Linked DNA regions of Cricetulus griseus. The protein of the gene in region 2 purifies or fractionates together with the protein of the main gene of each other region. This does not show direct contact. Links are inferred from orthologs where the notes say so. Each region holds a gene or a part of one and is shown on either strand. Other genes may lie near its edges.

The links.
Region 1: the proteins of Wrap73 (region 2) and Ssx2ip purify together in Homo sapiens (co-immunoprecipitation; 4 studies listed by BioGRID and IntAct, counting the BioPlex papers as one, with this or other methods). This does not show direct contact. The link is inferred for Cricetulus griseus from reciprocal best matches to the Homo sapiens genes WRAP73 and SSX2IP.
Region 3: the proteins of Wrap73 (region 2) and Obi1 purify together in Homo sapiens (affinity purification with mass spectrometry; 3 studies listed by BioGRID and IntAct, counting the BioPlex papers as one, with this or other methods). This does not show direct contact. The link is inferred for Cricetulus griseus from reciprocal best matches to the Homo sapiens genes WRAP73 and OBI1.

The regions. Positions count from the first base shown.
Region 1 is NW_023276806.1:12,736,804-12,740,449, forward strand, and holds part of Ssx2ip (afadin- and alpha-actinin-binding protein), read right to left. Parts: intron 2,683-3,646; coding exon 2,532-2,682; intron 678-2,531; coding exon 541-677; intron 240-540; coding exon 66-239; intron 1-65. UniProt on the Homo sapiens protein: Belongs to an adhesion system, which plays a role in the organization of homotypic, interneuronal and heterotypic cell-cell adherens junctions (AJs).
Region 2 is NC_048595.1:2,161,377-2,165,492, forward strand, and holds the start of Wrap73 (WD repeat-containing protein WRAP73), read right to left. Parts: upstream 2,841-4,116; 5' UTR 2,777-2,840; coding exon 2,708-2,776; intron 1-2,707.
Region 3 is NW_023276807.1:256,066,086-256,070,418, forward strand, and holds the start of Obi1 (ORC ubiquitin ligase 1), read right to left. Parts: upstream 2,875-4,333; 5' UTR 2,790-2,874; coding exon 2,718-2,789; intron 1-2,717. UniProt on the Homo sapiens protein: E3 ubiquitin ligase essential for DNA replication origin activation during S phase.

The DNA.
Region 1 (3,646 bases), on a different chromosome or scaffold from region 2:
CAAGGAGCATCCACCTGCACCCTCCCAGACACCTGTGCTCGGGGCTGCAGCACTGCAGAGCTCACCTCCAGCCCCAAGCGGATCGCAGCTTCTGTAAAGCTGCGTCTTTCTCTCTCAAAATTCTTTTTTTGCTCTTTAAAAAGGGACCACTCTTCTTTAAGGCGTTCCTTTTCTTCCAGCAAGTAACAGTCTCGAAGCAGTGAGGTTGTGTCATCATCACATGTCGTGGCCAGCTGCTGCTATTAAGGTTTAAAACACAGTAAGTCAGGAAACCCAGACAGCTTACTCACACTCCAGTGAACGCAGGGAAGATGGGTCAGAGCTTGGCCAAGGACATACACGATGAAGCAATGAGAACTTGCTTTCCCAAGAGCTGCTTCCCTTGGCAAAGTAGGGGCCAGGTGAACAAGGCTGCAGCTCATTAACTGCTAGTTCAGATGACTCACCTGAGATGGTAAAGGGTGTCAACTCTACAGACCTCAGGAGACACAGGAGCAAAAATCTAGCAGGTTCAATAACACCCCGAGGCCATCCCTTTACCTGTAAGAGCTGCTGCTGTGCTCGGATCATCTCTTTACACTGCTGGATCTCCAATTCCAGTTTCTCAGTCTCTTCTTCATGGTCCTGTCGTGAGATGACGTCCTCATCATTGAGGCCTTCTGAGTGGACCTTTGAAACTGACAGAATCCCAGTGTGCTGGGTTAGTTTGCTGTCACCCTGACTCCAGCAAGGGTCATCAAAGAAGAGGGCCCCAAACTGAGAACAACTGAGAAAATGCTTCCACAGACAAGCTTGTGAGACATTTTCTTCAGTAATGAGTTGTTTGTTTGTTTGTTTGTTTTTGGAGTAGGGTTTCTCTGTATAGCCCTGGCTGTCTCGGAACTCACGTTGTAGACCAGGCTGGCCTTGTGGGAGGCCCAGCTCAGTATGATGGGGCCACCACTGAGAAAGTGGTCTGGAGTTGTATGAGAAAGCAGGTTATCTCTTATAAGATAAGAGATACCATAATAGAGGGAGATATTTTAGGTTTAAAGAGAAATCAGGCACTCGGGAAATGTCTGGAGATCGACAATGATGACACCAGCTAACAATCTAAGCAACAGAGGAGAGGCTACCTTAAATGCCCTCCCCTGATTATGAGATTGATGACTGACTTATATGCCACCTGATAGCCCTCATCCAGCAGCTGATGGAAGTAGAAGCAGACACCCACAACTAATCACTGAAATGAACTGGAATCCAGTTCCAGAAAAGAACCAGTGATGAGCAAAGGATTAGCTGCTGAAACCCACAGAAACAGCTGACCTGAACAACGGGGAGCTCTTGGTCCCCAGACTGATAGCTGGGAAACCAGCATGGGACTGACACAGACCCCCTGAACGTGGGTGTCAGTGAGGAGACCTCGGAAATCTACGGGACCTCTTGTAGTAGATCAGTACTTATCCCTAGCTTAGGTGTGGATTTGGGAGCCCATTCCACATAGAGGGATACTCCCTTAGCCAAGACACACGGGGGTTGGGCCTAGGCCCTATCCCAAAGGATATGATAGACTCTGAAGATCCCCTATGGAAGGCCTCACTCTCCCTGGGGGCGCAGAAAGGTTTTGTGATAGGTAGCGTTTTAGTTGGGGGGGGGGCAGGGGAGGAGGGAAGGGAGAGGGAACTGGAATTGTCATGTAAAACAATCTTGTTTCTAATTCAAATAAAAAAATGGAACACACACACACACACACACACACACACACACACACACACACACACACACAGAGTAAAATTTACCCTTTCCTCTCAAGATGCTTCTGGTCATGGTGTTTACCAAAACAATAGAAACCACGATGAGAGCCAGAAACTAGGCACAGGTTTTAAAGCCACTATTGTCTTAAGCTGGTCTTGAACACACATTTAAAATAAATTACTGCAAGTGAATGTGCAACTGTGAGAACTATGCTGTTTGTCCTTTGTGACTCACAGCTTTGTACTGATAACTCCAATAAACTTTAAGTAACTGACTTTACTAAACAGAAATTTTAGTGCTCAAGAAATGACAGAGGTGAAAAGTGCACTCTGTTCCTTAGAGCTCCCAGGCTCCATTTCTAGCACCCATGTTGGGGTCTTGTAACTACCTGTTAACTTCAGCTCCGGGGAGTCAGCACCTCTGGCCTCCACAGAAACCTACACTCACATGACACGCCCCTTTGCACACACAAACACAATTAAAATGATAAATGTAAACCTGAAAAAGCACAAACTCAACTTTCCTGATTTAGAAGCACGCAGACTTTAACACATATAAGAGTGCTTGCCTTCATACTCGAGCTACAAGTTGTTCAGTTCACTACCGAGCTGCACGGGGACTTCAAGTGTGAGCAATGCTGCTCTCTAAGACTTGTTCTGGAGCCAGGTGCATCTCTGTCAGTGAGTGCAAAGCCAGGGGCAAACCAGGCAGAACCAGACACCCAGAGCAGCCAGCCCTGCACTGGACAGCAGCAGCTTACATGGCGCCCACTTCTCCTGCACTGCAGCAGGGGTTACCTTGGTTATCGAGTTTTTCCACGTGACTTTTCAAGATCCTCCACTGTCTCCTGATGCTGTTTGTAAGCTGCTCTCTCACAGTGTCACAGGAGAGGCCCCACGCGCTCTCTCTGCTCAGCTCTCCAAGGTCATCTTCAATATCAGAGATAACCTACAGCCCAAAGAGAACGACGGAAAGACCAGTAACTTACAATGCTTTTACACCCAGGCTGCTCTATCGGGCTCAAGCAATCTCTCACCCATTAGCCAGTATCTATATCTTGTAAAAAGGTACTGAAGACAGAAACTCCCAAATTCAGATCTCTTCCAATCTGACTGACAGAGCTGTCTGAGACAGCTGCTGTCTGTGCAATGCTGTGCTGGATGCTGCTGCACATTTACTTCTCAAACTGTGCAAAAAAGAAACTCAGGCTCAGAGGCAGGCTCAGTGTCACACAGAAGACAGGCAGGACTGAGACTGGTCGATTTGTCTCTAAGTTTAGACTGCTGCAACAAGTAAACCTTTTGAAATTATCAACAGAGTCAAACAGTTAATCCCAATTCTCCTATCATTTTATGGCTGACATGTTTTTCTTTTTGTTGGACCAAAACATGAAATTATAGGAAAATGTACCAATGTTGATTAAGTTACCACAGAAAACAATATGAAAACTTAAGTCAAACATGCATCTATATACAATAGTCTTTATTTGTTACTAATTTCCAGGAAGGTTGAAACACTTGACTATGAAAAATACCTCTCAGGAGAAAGGTGGCAAAAGGTTAAAAGAAAGAAGAGTTATTATACCCCCCTCCCCCCAATCAGACAAATGCAGCAGCAATGAAGAGCTGGCACTGGGGTAACAGAGGTCAGGTCTAAGCAGACGCTGTGACGTCAGCACTGGGGTAGCAGAGGTCAGGTCTAAGCAGATGCTGTGACGTCAGCACTGGGGTAGCAGAGGTCAGGTCTAAGCAGACGCTGTGACGTCAGCACTGGGGTAGCAGAGGTCAGGTCAGAGGTCAGGTCTAAGCAGACGCTGTGACGTCAGCACTGGGATAGCAGAGGTCAGGTCTAAGCAGACGCTGTGACGTCAGCACTGGGGTAACAGAGGTCAGGTCCAAGCAGACGCTGTGAC
Region 2 (4,116 bases):
ACACCGCCTCCCCTTGGGTGTGATGGTACACTCCTGTAATCACAGCACTGGGGAGGTACTCAGCTACTTTCTAAGCCTGAGGCCAGCTTTGCATATTATACTAAAGTCCAAGAGCCAAGAAGTTGCACTAGCCGGAAAAGCAAATTTGGATCCCCAGAAGCCACATAAACCTGGGTACACTTGTTTATAATCCCAGTGTCCCTGTGGTCAGAGGGGAGGTGGGGACAGGAGCTTGTGGGACAGCTAGCCTGGTGTATGCAGTGGAGAACGAGAGACCTTGTCTCAAATAAGGTGGAAGTCAAGCGTAATATTCTGTGTTGTCCTCTACCTTCTGTGTGTTGTGACACCCGTATACCACTGCACACTAACATGGAGACACACATGCATGCCGTGCACGCGCAGATTTTTTTTTAAGGGAAGCCTAATTAGTATTGTGCAGAAAAGAGAGAGCACAAAGGCCAAGCACAGCTTAGAAGGAGGCCCTGTCACAGGTTTTCACACTATAGCTTTGTGAGCTGTGAATACAAAGTTACCAGCTACAATGAATTCCTTATGAACCACTGACAGAGACACTGAGACTGGAAACATGGGCTGCTTTGCTCAGTATGGCAAGACTCCCAAGAAACAATTACCAAGAGTTCCACAGTATTTTGATGAGTGGGCAATCCCAAACACAAATGTAGATAACCAAAAGCTCTTTGATGTTAGTTAGAACTTTCAGAACAGTAAAGCAACCCTAATCTGTGGAGGCACTTAGGTAAAATGTATCAAGGCAGACACTGTGCAAAAATGTATCAAGGTAGACACTGTGCAAGTATGTGTGTGAGAATGTGGTTAATTCTCTCCTTCTCCTTTAAGTGGGTTCCACAACTCAAGTGGTCAGGCTTGCATGGCAGTAAAAGGTAAAGTGTATCCAGGTGTGTGTGGGGGGGGGGGAAATCTCCTTCCTCCTTTACATGGGGTGTGTGTGTGTGTGTGTGTGTGTGTGTGTGTGTGTGTGTGTGTGTGTGTGTGTGTGTGTGTGTGTGTGTGTGTGTGTGTGTGTGTGTGTGTGTGTGTGTGTGTGTGTGTGTGTGTGTGTGTGTGTGTGTGTGTGTGTGTGTGTGTGTGTGTGTGTGTGTGTGTGTGTGTGTGTGTGTGTGTGTGTGTGTGTGTGTCTCTCCTTTCCCTTTTAGACAGGTTCCAGAACACAAGTTGTCACGCTTGCAGAGCCCAAGCCATATCTTTATCTGCTAACACCATCTCTATCCTGACACTTCCTACTTTCTAATGACACATAAGGGTAATCTCTATCCCTAAGGCTTGGAGAAATACTCCAGGAGTGTGGATTAAGAACCAAGATAGCACCGGGTGTGCTATGGAAGACCTTTAATCCCAGCAGTGCTCAGGAGGCAGAGGCAGGTGGATCTTTGTGAGTTCTAGGACAGCCTGGTCTACAGAGTGACTTCTAGGACAGCCAGGGCTACACAGAGAAACCCTATCTCAACAAACAAAACAGACAAACAAAAAGATCCAAGAAAGCCAGGCGGCGGTGGTGGTCCATGCCTTTAATCCCAGCACAGGGGAGGCAGAAGAGGGCAGATCTTAAGTTTGAGGCCAATCTGATCTACAGAATGAGTTCCAGGGCAGCCAGGGCTACACAGAGAAACCTTGTCTTGAAAAAGTAACAGTTTTTTTTTTTTTAAAGGTACCTGTTCGTTAAAAGAAGATAGATGCATAAAAGGAAGCTCATTAAAAATTATGATTTGTTTGTGGGAAGGGTCCTGCACTAGATATGGCTTATGGATAGGTTAGAGGACAACTTGCAGGAGCCTGTTCTCCCTTTCTGCTACCTGGGTCCTGGAGACGAGACTCAGGTCATCAGTTTTAGTGGCAGGTACCTTTCCTGGCCAAGATACCCCACTGACCCAGAACCATAGTTTTAATAAGACATGAGCCTTTGTCCTGGTGACTTCCTAATGCCAAGCGTCTGCCTTCTAAGTACACAGTGGTCAGATTGGTGTATTTTTGAACACCGTCCTGTCACCCATAGAATGTACAGCTAACATCCAACATTGGGGCTGAAAGGCAGTTCCTTAAATAACTGCATGCGATGGCGGAAAAGGGGTAGTGAGGGCCAAAAATGAGGGCACCATTTTAAACAGCTTACAAGCGAAAATGGTCATAAACCATTGCCGTTTGTGACAAAATAACAATGAGCTGGCATCCCCTGTGCCTCAAGCGCGTGAGAGCAGCATCACCCAACTTTGATAAAGGGAAACCCGAGCAGGGAGGCTGGCATCCGCCCAGCCCGGGCCACCTGCTCCAGGTCCCCCTCCCCTCCCCTGACCACCTGCCAGCCGGAGTATCAACCTACTGGCAACTCCACCCCTGCCCTGCCCTGCCCTGCCCTGCCCAGGCCACCCGCTCCACGCCCCCCCGTTCCCTACCCGGGCCACCTGCCAGGACCCCCTACTCCCGCCTGGGTCCCTCTCCTACTTCAGGTTCCTTTTCCCTACCCTGATCACGTACCTAGTCCCCCCACGTCCGGCCCGAAACCCCTCCGCCTGGTTCCCCAACACCGCGCCTGGCTCGAGTCCCCCTGGCCGCCCCCCCCCCGCGCCCGCCGTCCCGCTCGGGCCCCCTTCCCGCCCCCCTTCGGCCCGCCCCGGGCCCCCGGCACAGGTCGCGCGCACGCATGGGCTCTGCCCCGCGCGCCGCGGCTCACCAGGTACTTGCCGTCCGGGGAGAACCTGCAAAGCAGGCCCGAAAGCTTGAACGACTCCGAGAAGTTCATGGCCGCGGCCAGCCCGGGCCAGCACAGCCCCGAGGTACAGCCCGCAACCGCCGCGAGCCGCGGCCGGAAGTACGGAGGCGGAAGCGAGCTGCGGCCAATGGGAGCCCCTAGCGGCCGCGCGGCATTGTGGGGCGGGGAGTCCGAGCCCGTGCTTTAAAGGCGCCGAGCGCCGTTGCGCCACAGAGGATCTCCGCGCGAGCCGCGGGACGCAGGGCTAAATCCTGACTTCAGATGAGTCACAGTGTAAATATGTTCCCAGATGCTACATGGCACGAACTTAGACTGGAAAACTCCCTCGTCTGAAATTTAGATTTTAACTAGACGCTTGTATTTGTAAATTACATTTATACATATTTATTTTAAGTATACAGTGTATACAGATAAACCTATTTTGTAAGTAACAAAGTTCCTGTTACCGGGGCTAGGGGCGCGGCACAGATGGCGGGGGGCTTCCTTAGCTTATGTGGAACCCGGGTTTCTATCCCCAACCCTGCATACACCCGGCACGATGGAGCGAGCACACCTTAAATCCCAGACCTGAAGGCGGAGGCAATGGCCGTTCAGGGTCACCCAACGTTAATTATAAAGTCTGAGGCCATCTTGGCTTCGTGAGACCTTTTCTCAGATAAAAAACAAAGCAAAGCATAGTATCTATATATTCTATTGCAATTTATTTTCTATGTGATGTTCAAGTATAAATATAGGTTTGCTTTGAGGTTTTGCTGAGGGAGAGCGACCACCTGCAGCGTGACCTCAGGTGCTCAGGTGCTTCGCAAGTCTCGCAGGCCTGTGGATGGGCTCGCCTTCCTGGAGGTCCTGGGTTCGAGTCTCAACTTAGACGTCCGTGATTCTCCCGGCATGGCAGCCCCGCTAGACACATCCGTGGGACAGAGCACCAACTGGGCTTCAGATCGCGCTCGCTCCCCGAAGCGCCCAATTCCTCACTCACGCCGCACCCCAAGTCCTCTGCCCCACAGGGCTCCCCACTCCCGGCTCATTCGGGAGGCTGGTTGCTCTGTCTGCACCCAGCTCAGCCGCTGCCGTGGGCTCTGGGTCTCGAATTCTGAAAGACCAACAGGACCTGCTATTGTTTGCCCCAGCTCATAGCTGCGAACGAACCTCTTCCTTTCCGATGCAGCAAACTTCCAAGAATTAAATGAATACGGGTCCGGAGAGAACCTGGAGAGTGCGCGGAGTGCTGGCCTTTTCTCTTCCTAACCAGACCCAAAGTCTTGCTTGGTGTTCGGCCTGGTTCGTGGTCAGGCTTTCGAGTGACAGGGGGATCCGGTCTGCCCTAGCCCAACTCTCTCGCAGTGCCACTGGCGACGCTAGCGCAACTT
Region 3 (4,333 bases), on a different chromosome or scaffold from region 2:
TTGTAAGCAGCAAAGATAGGAGGTGATCCAACTAAGCCCTTTGATAGTAAACTCTCAGACACTGGACACAGAGCTACAAGATTCTGTGCCCTGGACTTTGGTCTAGTATGTCCTCACTGTGCCCCATTCCTCCCTTTTGGGATGGGAATGTATAGTCTGTACCACCTGGTGTTGGAAATACGTACTTTTTTATTTTATTGGGGGGATCACAGTTAAGAGACTGATGAGTCTTAGAAGCAACTTTAGACTTTTAAACACTGTTGAGACAGCAAAAGACCATGAGGACTTCAAAATGCAGTAGATGCATCTGTCGTGACATGGCGAGGAGCCTATGGGGAGCAGAGAGTAGAATGTGGTGGTTCGAATGGCTAACTGAATACTTGGACTCAGGCTGGTGGCAGATTAAGGAGGAACCCTTTAAGCAGGGAGGCCTTGCTGGAGGAAGCGCACCATCAGCTGAGGCCTTGAGAATTTATAGCTTACCCTCACAGCAGGCTCACTGTCTCCCTGCCCTCTGCTCCAGCTGCCCAGTGCCACACCTCCCCGCCATTATAGACTCTGCCCCTGGAGCCATAAGCCAAAATAAATTCTCTCCTCTAATAGTCAGTCACTTTTGTTCCTGGTGTTATCACAGCAACAAAAAGTAACTAATACAAACACTAACTTAAAAATGGATTCTTTCTCCAAGTAGTAAAATATGAAGCATTTAGTACTCTTTCAGTTCTTGTCTACCCATGTTCCTCTACGCAAACCCCACTATACAAAATAGCCAAAACAGACATAGGTCTAAAAGTTCTAAGATATGGATATGATCATAATTTCCCAGGTCATCAGTCTTCACAATCAAAAACAGTTGATCACCATGGCAACGGTATAAGTGGCACGTGAAATCCCTAACTTTTCAGGGGCATGCATGTTCAAGGATGAGGATCGGAGGATAATGTTTCCAAGATGGTGAAGAAGAGGAAGAGGAAGAGAGAGCAAACTACAATACTGTGCTCTGTACACTAATGGACAGGAAGGGGTGGTCTTTGGTGCAAAGATTAACTCTACAATCTGTCTCCTTCCTTAGCCCTGGTTGTCCTTGCTCTGTAGACCAGGCTGGCACTGAACTCAGGGATCTACCTGTGTCTGCCTCCCGAGTTAAAGATGAAGGCATGTGCCACCACACACAGCTTGTTTTTCCTTTTTTATCATGTCATGTTATCTCCTTTCCAATGAAATCCCTTTCTTAACATAGCAAATGTATTTGGAAGGAGTAGTGTTAAAAGTTCTTCATTAATAGCCCTACTATGGAGGGCTCGCTGACTAGGAGTTATGTATTGGTTCAGGTAGGGGCTTCCCATTTGGGGCACTATCAACATTTTTCTTAACTGAAGTATTTTTGTGTTGTATATCATAGGAAATTTAGCTAGCAGCAGCTCTGGAATCCACCAGTCAGATGCCATTGGCTTGCCCCTGGAGGCAATCAAAAGAAACTACACAATCACAAATGTTCCTCAGGGTCAAACAGAAATTCTTCCAACAAGTTAACTGGGGTTGATAAAATTAAACACATTTTGAGCGGTGGAAACTGAGATATAAGGAAACAACAATATAGATCACAATTGACAAAGCCTGAATAGTTCTTAAAAAAATTTTTAAAGGCTTTCCCACCATGGGGCAAGGATAAGAGATAATAATTTAGAAGAAAAAAAAGATGTATGTTTGAAGGGATGGAACTGTGATGGCATCTTTGGGTGTGAAGAAAACATAGTTCAGATTTACCAGTTGGCCAGCTCAAAAGCCACCTTTGTAAACGTCATCCTTCAGCTCCTCAGAGAGACCAAGCAGGCCATTCTTTCTCACAGCAGATGGACCATATTTGTGGCCTTTTACTCTGTCTAGATGCTAGCTAGCAGTTGCTTCCAGACCCAACTTGCTTTTATTTATTGAATCAGCAAATCTACGCTGAACTTCCAACACCTAAAAAGCAGGCCATCTTATTGGCTGGCACCCAATTCTTTTTTCCCTGCTAAGCCTGGGGCTGTAAAGTGCAGCCTACATTCTGGGGCACACTACGTACAACCCAAGGTGAAAGAAAAGAAAAAAAAGAAGAACGAGCGTTCCAGTTCTTTTCCGTTCTTGGACCACGCGGTAAAGGCACGCTCTTTAAAAAAAAAGAACCGAATCGGGGGGCACAAACGGAAATGAAAGGGAAAGCTCGGTTTCTAACACCAAACTACTTTCTCCGCGGAGTTTCACGAACCCACGAGCACCTCATGTCGCCTCTGGGGACTGAAGCGGGAGCCGGGACCCCGCTGGCTTCCTTCCCCTTCTCCACGGCACAGAGGGGAGCGGGGGGAGAGGGGGAGCAGCTACCACCGAGGACTTTTCTAACCCTCAACGCGTGGCGAGAGCCGCCGTCCAGCCGGGAGTGAGACGGGGGAAGGAAGGGCTGGGAACGGGGCCGCGGCCCCCGAGCCATCGCTGCGGGCGGCCGGCCGGGCGCCGGGGCTGGCGGGGAGCCTGCTCTCCTCGGCGCCGCTCGCCGCACGGAGGATGGAGGCTGCGTGGCTCGCCCGGCCGCTCGCCCGCTCGCTCGCTCGCCGCGGAGGCTCGGACCGCTGCTCCCCGCAGGCCCCCCGCCCCGCCCCGGGCCGCCCCGCCCGCGGGCCCCGGACCGGCCTCCCGCCGCCGCTCGGGCCGCCCGCCCGTCTCCTAGCCGCACCCATTACCTTCCCCAAGCAGATGTGGCACGTGATGGGCAGAGTGAGGGACAATGTAACGTTCTGCACCGTCTGAGCCATGGCAGCGTTCAGAATCCCGCCAACACGGAAGTCCCGCCGACAGCGGCTCCTCGCCACGCTGGGAACGCGCGAGGCCGGCTACGGCGGCCCGGCGGGGCCACAGCGAGCCGGGCGAGGGGACGGAAAAACGCGCTTCTGGGATGCGCGGTCGCCCCGTCATTTTTTTTTTTTTTTCTTCCCCCTTTCGTTATGGAATCGTAGCTGTTTTTGATAACGGATTTAAAATGGGCCCCTGGGTCAGGTGACTTAAAAATTGCTGGGGACGGGAAGGAAGTTGGTTTCCTGGAGGCTTCGAGGCTCTGGAGCATTTGCGGAGAGTGTAATCCATCAGTGCAGCAAGGAGAGAAGGCTGTCAAAGAGGCCAATGGGGGTGGGGAGTGGCCACACCTTTGAGCCCTCAAGACATAACGAGAAAAGACCATACCTACTCGTCTGGTATTTTCGAAACTGTTCTCTCTGAGTTTCTTCCCCATTCCTACAGCGTGCTTTCCAGAAGGCGCGATGCTGCGCTTCAAAGCAACGCTGTTCTGCATCCAGACTACCCAGAAGAACCTGGGTAAACTCACTCTCAGCTCTCTTTGAGCACAGACTCTGACTTGCCAGCCTGGGCTTTCCTAATCAGAAGGTTTAAGGATTCTAGCCGGGGCGCTGATTCACCCCAAGCCAGGAAACTGCCAACAGGGCAAAGCATACACTTGTACAATGCATCTTAACGACTTCATTTTAGGTACACGGAGAATATGAAAAGTACCACTTGTGCTGTTGAACTCCCCGAGATAACTTGTGACGTTACAAATTAGCATTTCCCAACAATGACAAAGAAAAGAAAATGTAAATGTTCCCCCAAATGAATCTTATGTATAAGATTTGGGATTTAACTACAAAGTGGTGTAAACGAGAAAGAGCTAATAGGAGAAATAATGCAAACAAATGTAGTGTGTGAGATGGGAAATTTAGAAACAAGGGACATGTCTTTTGCTGATGTCTTTGTTAAAGAGACTGATGGAGGAGACATTCCTGCCTTGGACAACTTCCTAGGTCATGGCCTTTCTGTGTGTGTGTGTGTGTGTGTGTGTGTGTGTGTGTGTGTGTGTGTGTGTGTGTGTGTGTGTGTGAAATAAGGTGGAGGCCAATCATCCTGGCTCTAAAATAACCACGGAATAATGCAACTGGAGAGGTTAGCAACTGGTCTGGAGAAGCCAGTTTAAATCTCACTAGTGGCAGTCAGAATATCCCTGTAGCTCAGTATCTTTGTTTCCTAAGAACTAGAGGGTATGGTCAAGTTGGAATTGGAGAACTAGGCAAAACATCTGTACTGACTCCCTGTGTAATGGACACTTCTTCAGAATGCCTAGCACGAGAATAATCTGCTTCTAAAACCTTGTGGTTATTTGAAAGCAAAGTCATATTTATTCCAGGTCCAGAATGCACAAGCCTAGAAAATGTATCTTTCACATTCCCCGCTGAAGCCAGGATTAGAATGAGAAATTCCGTGATGTTTTAGGGCTTCCTTCTACAGCCACTGAGTGGGACAGAGGAGTAAG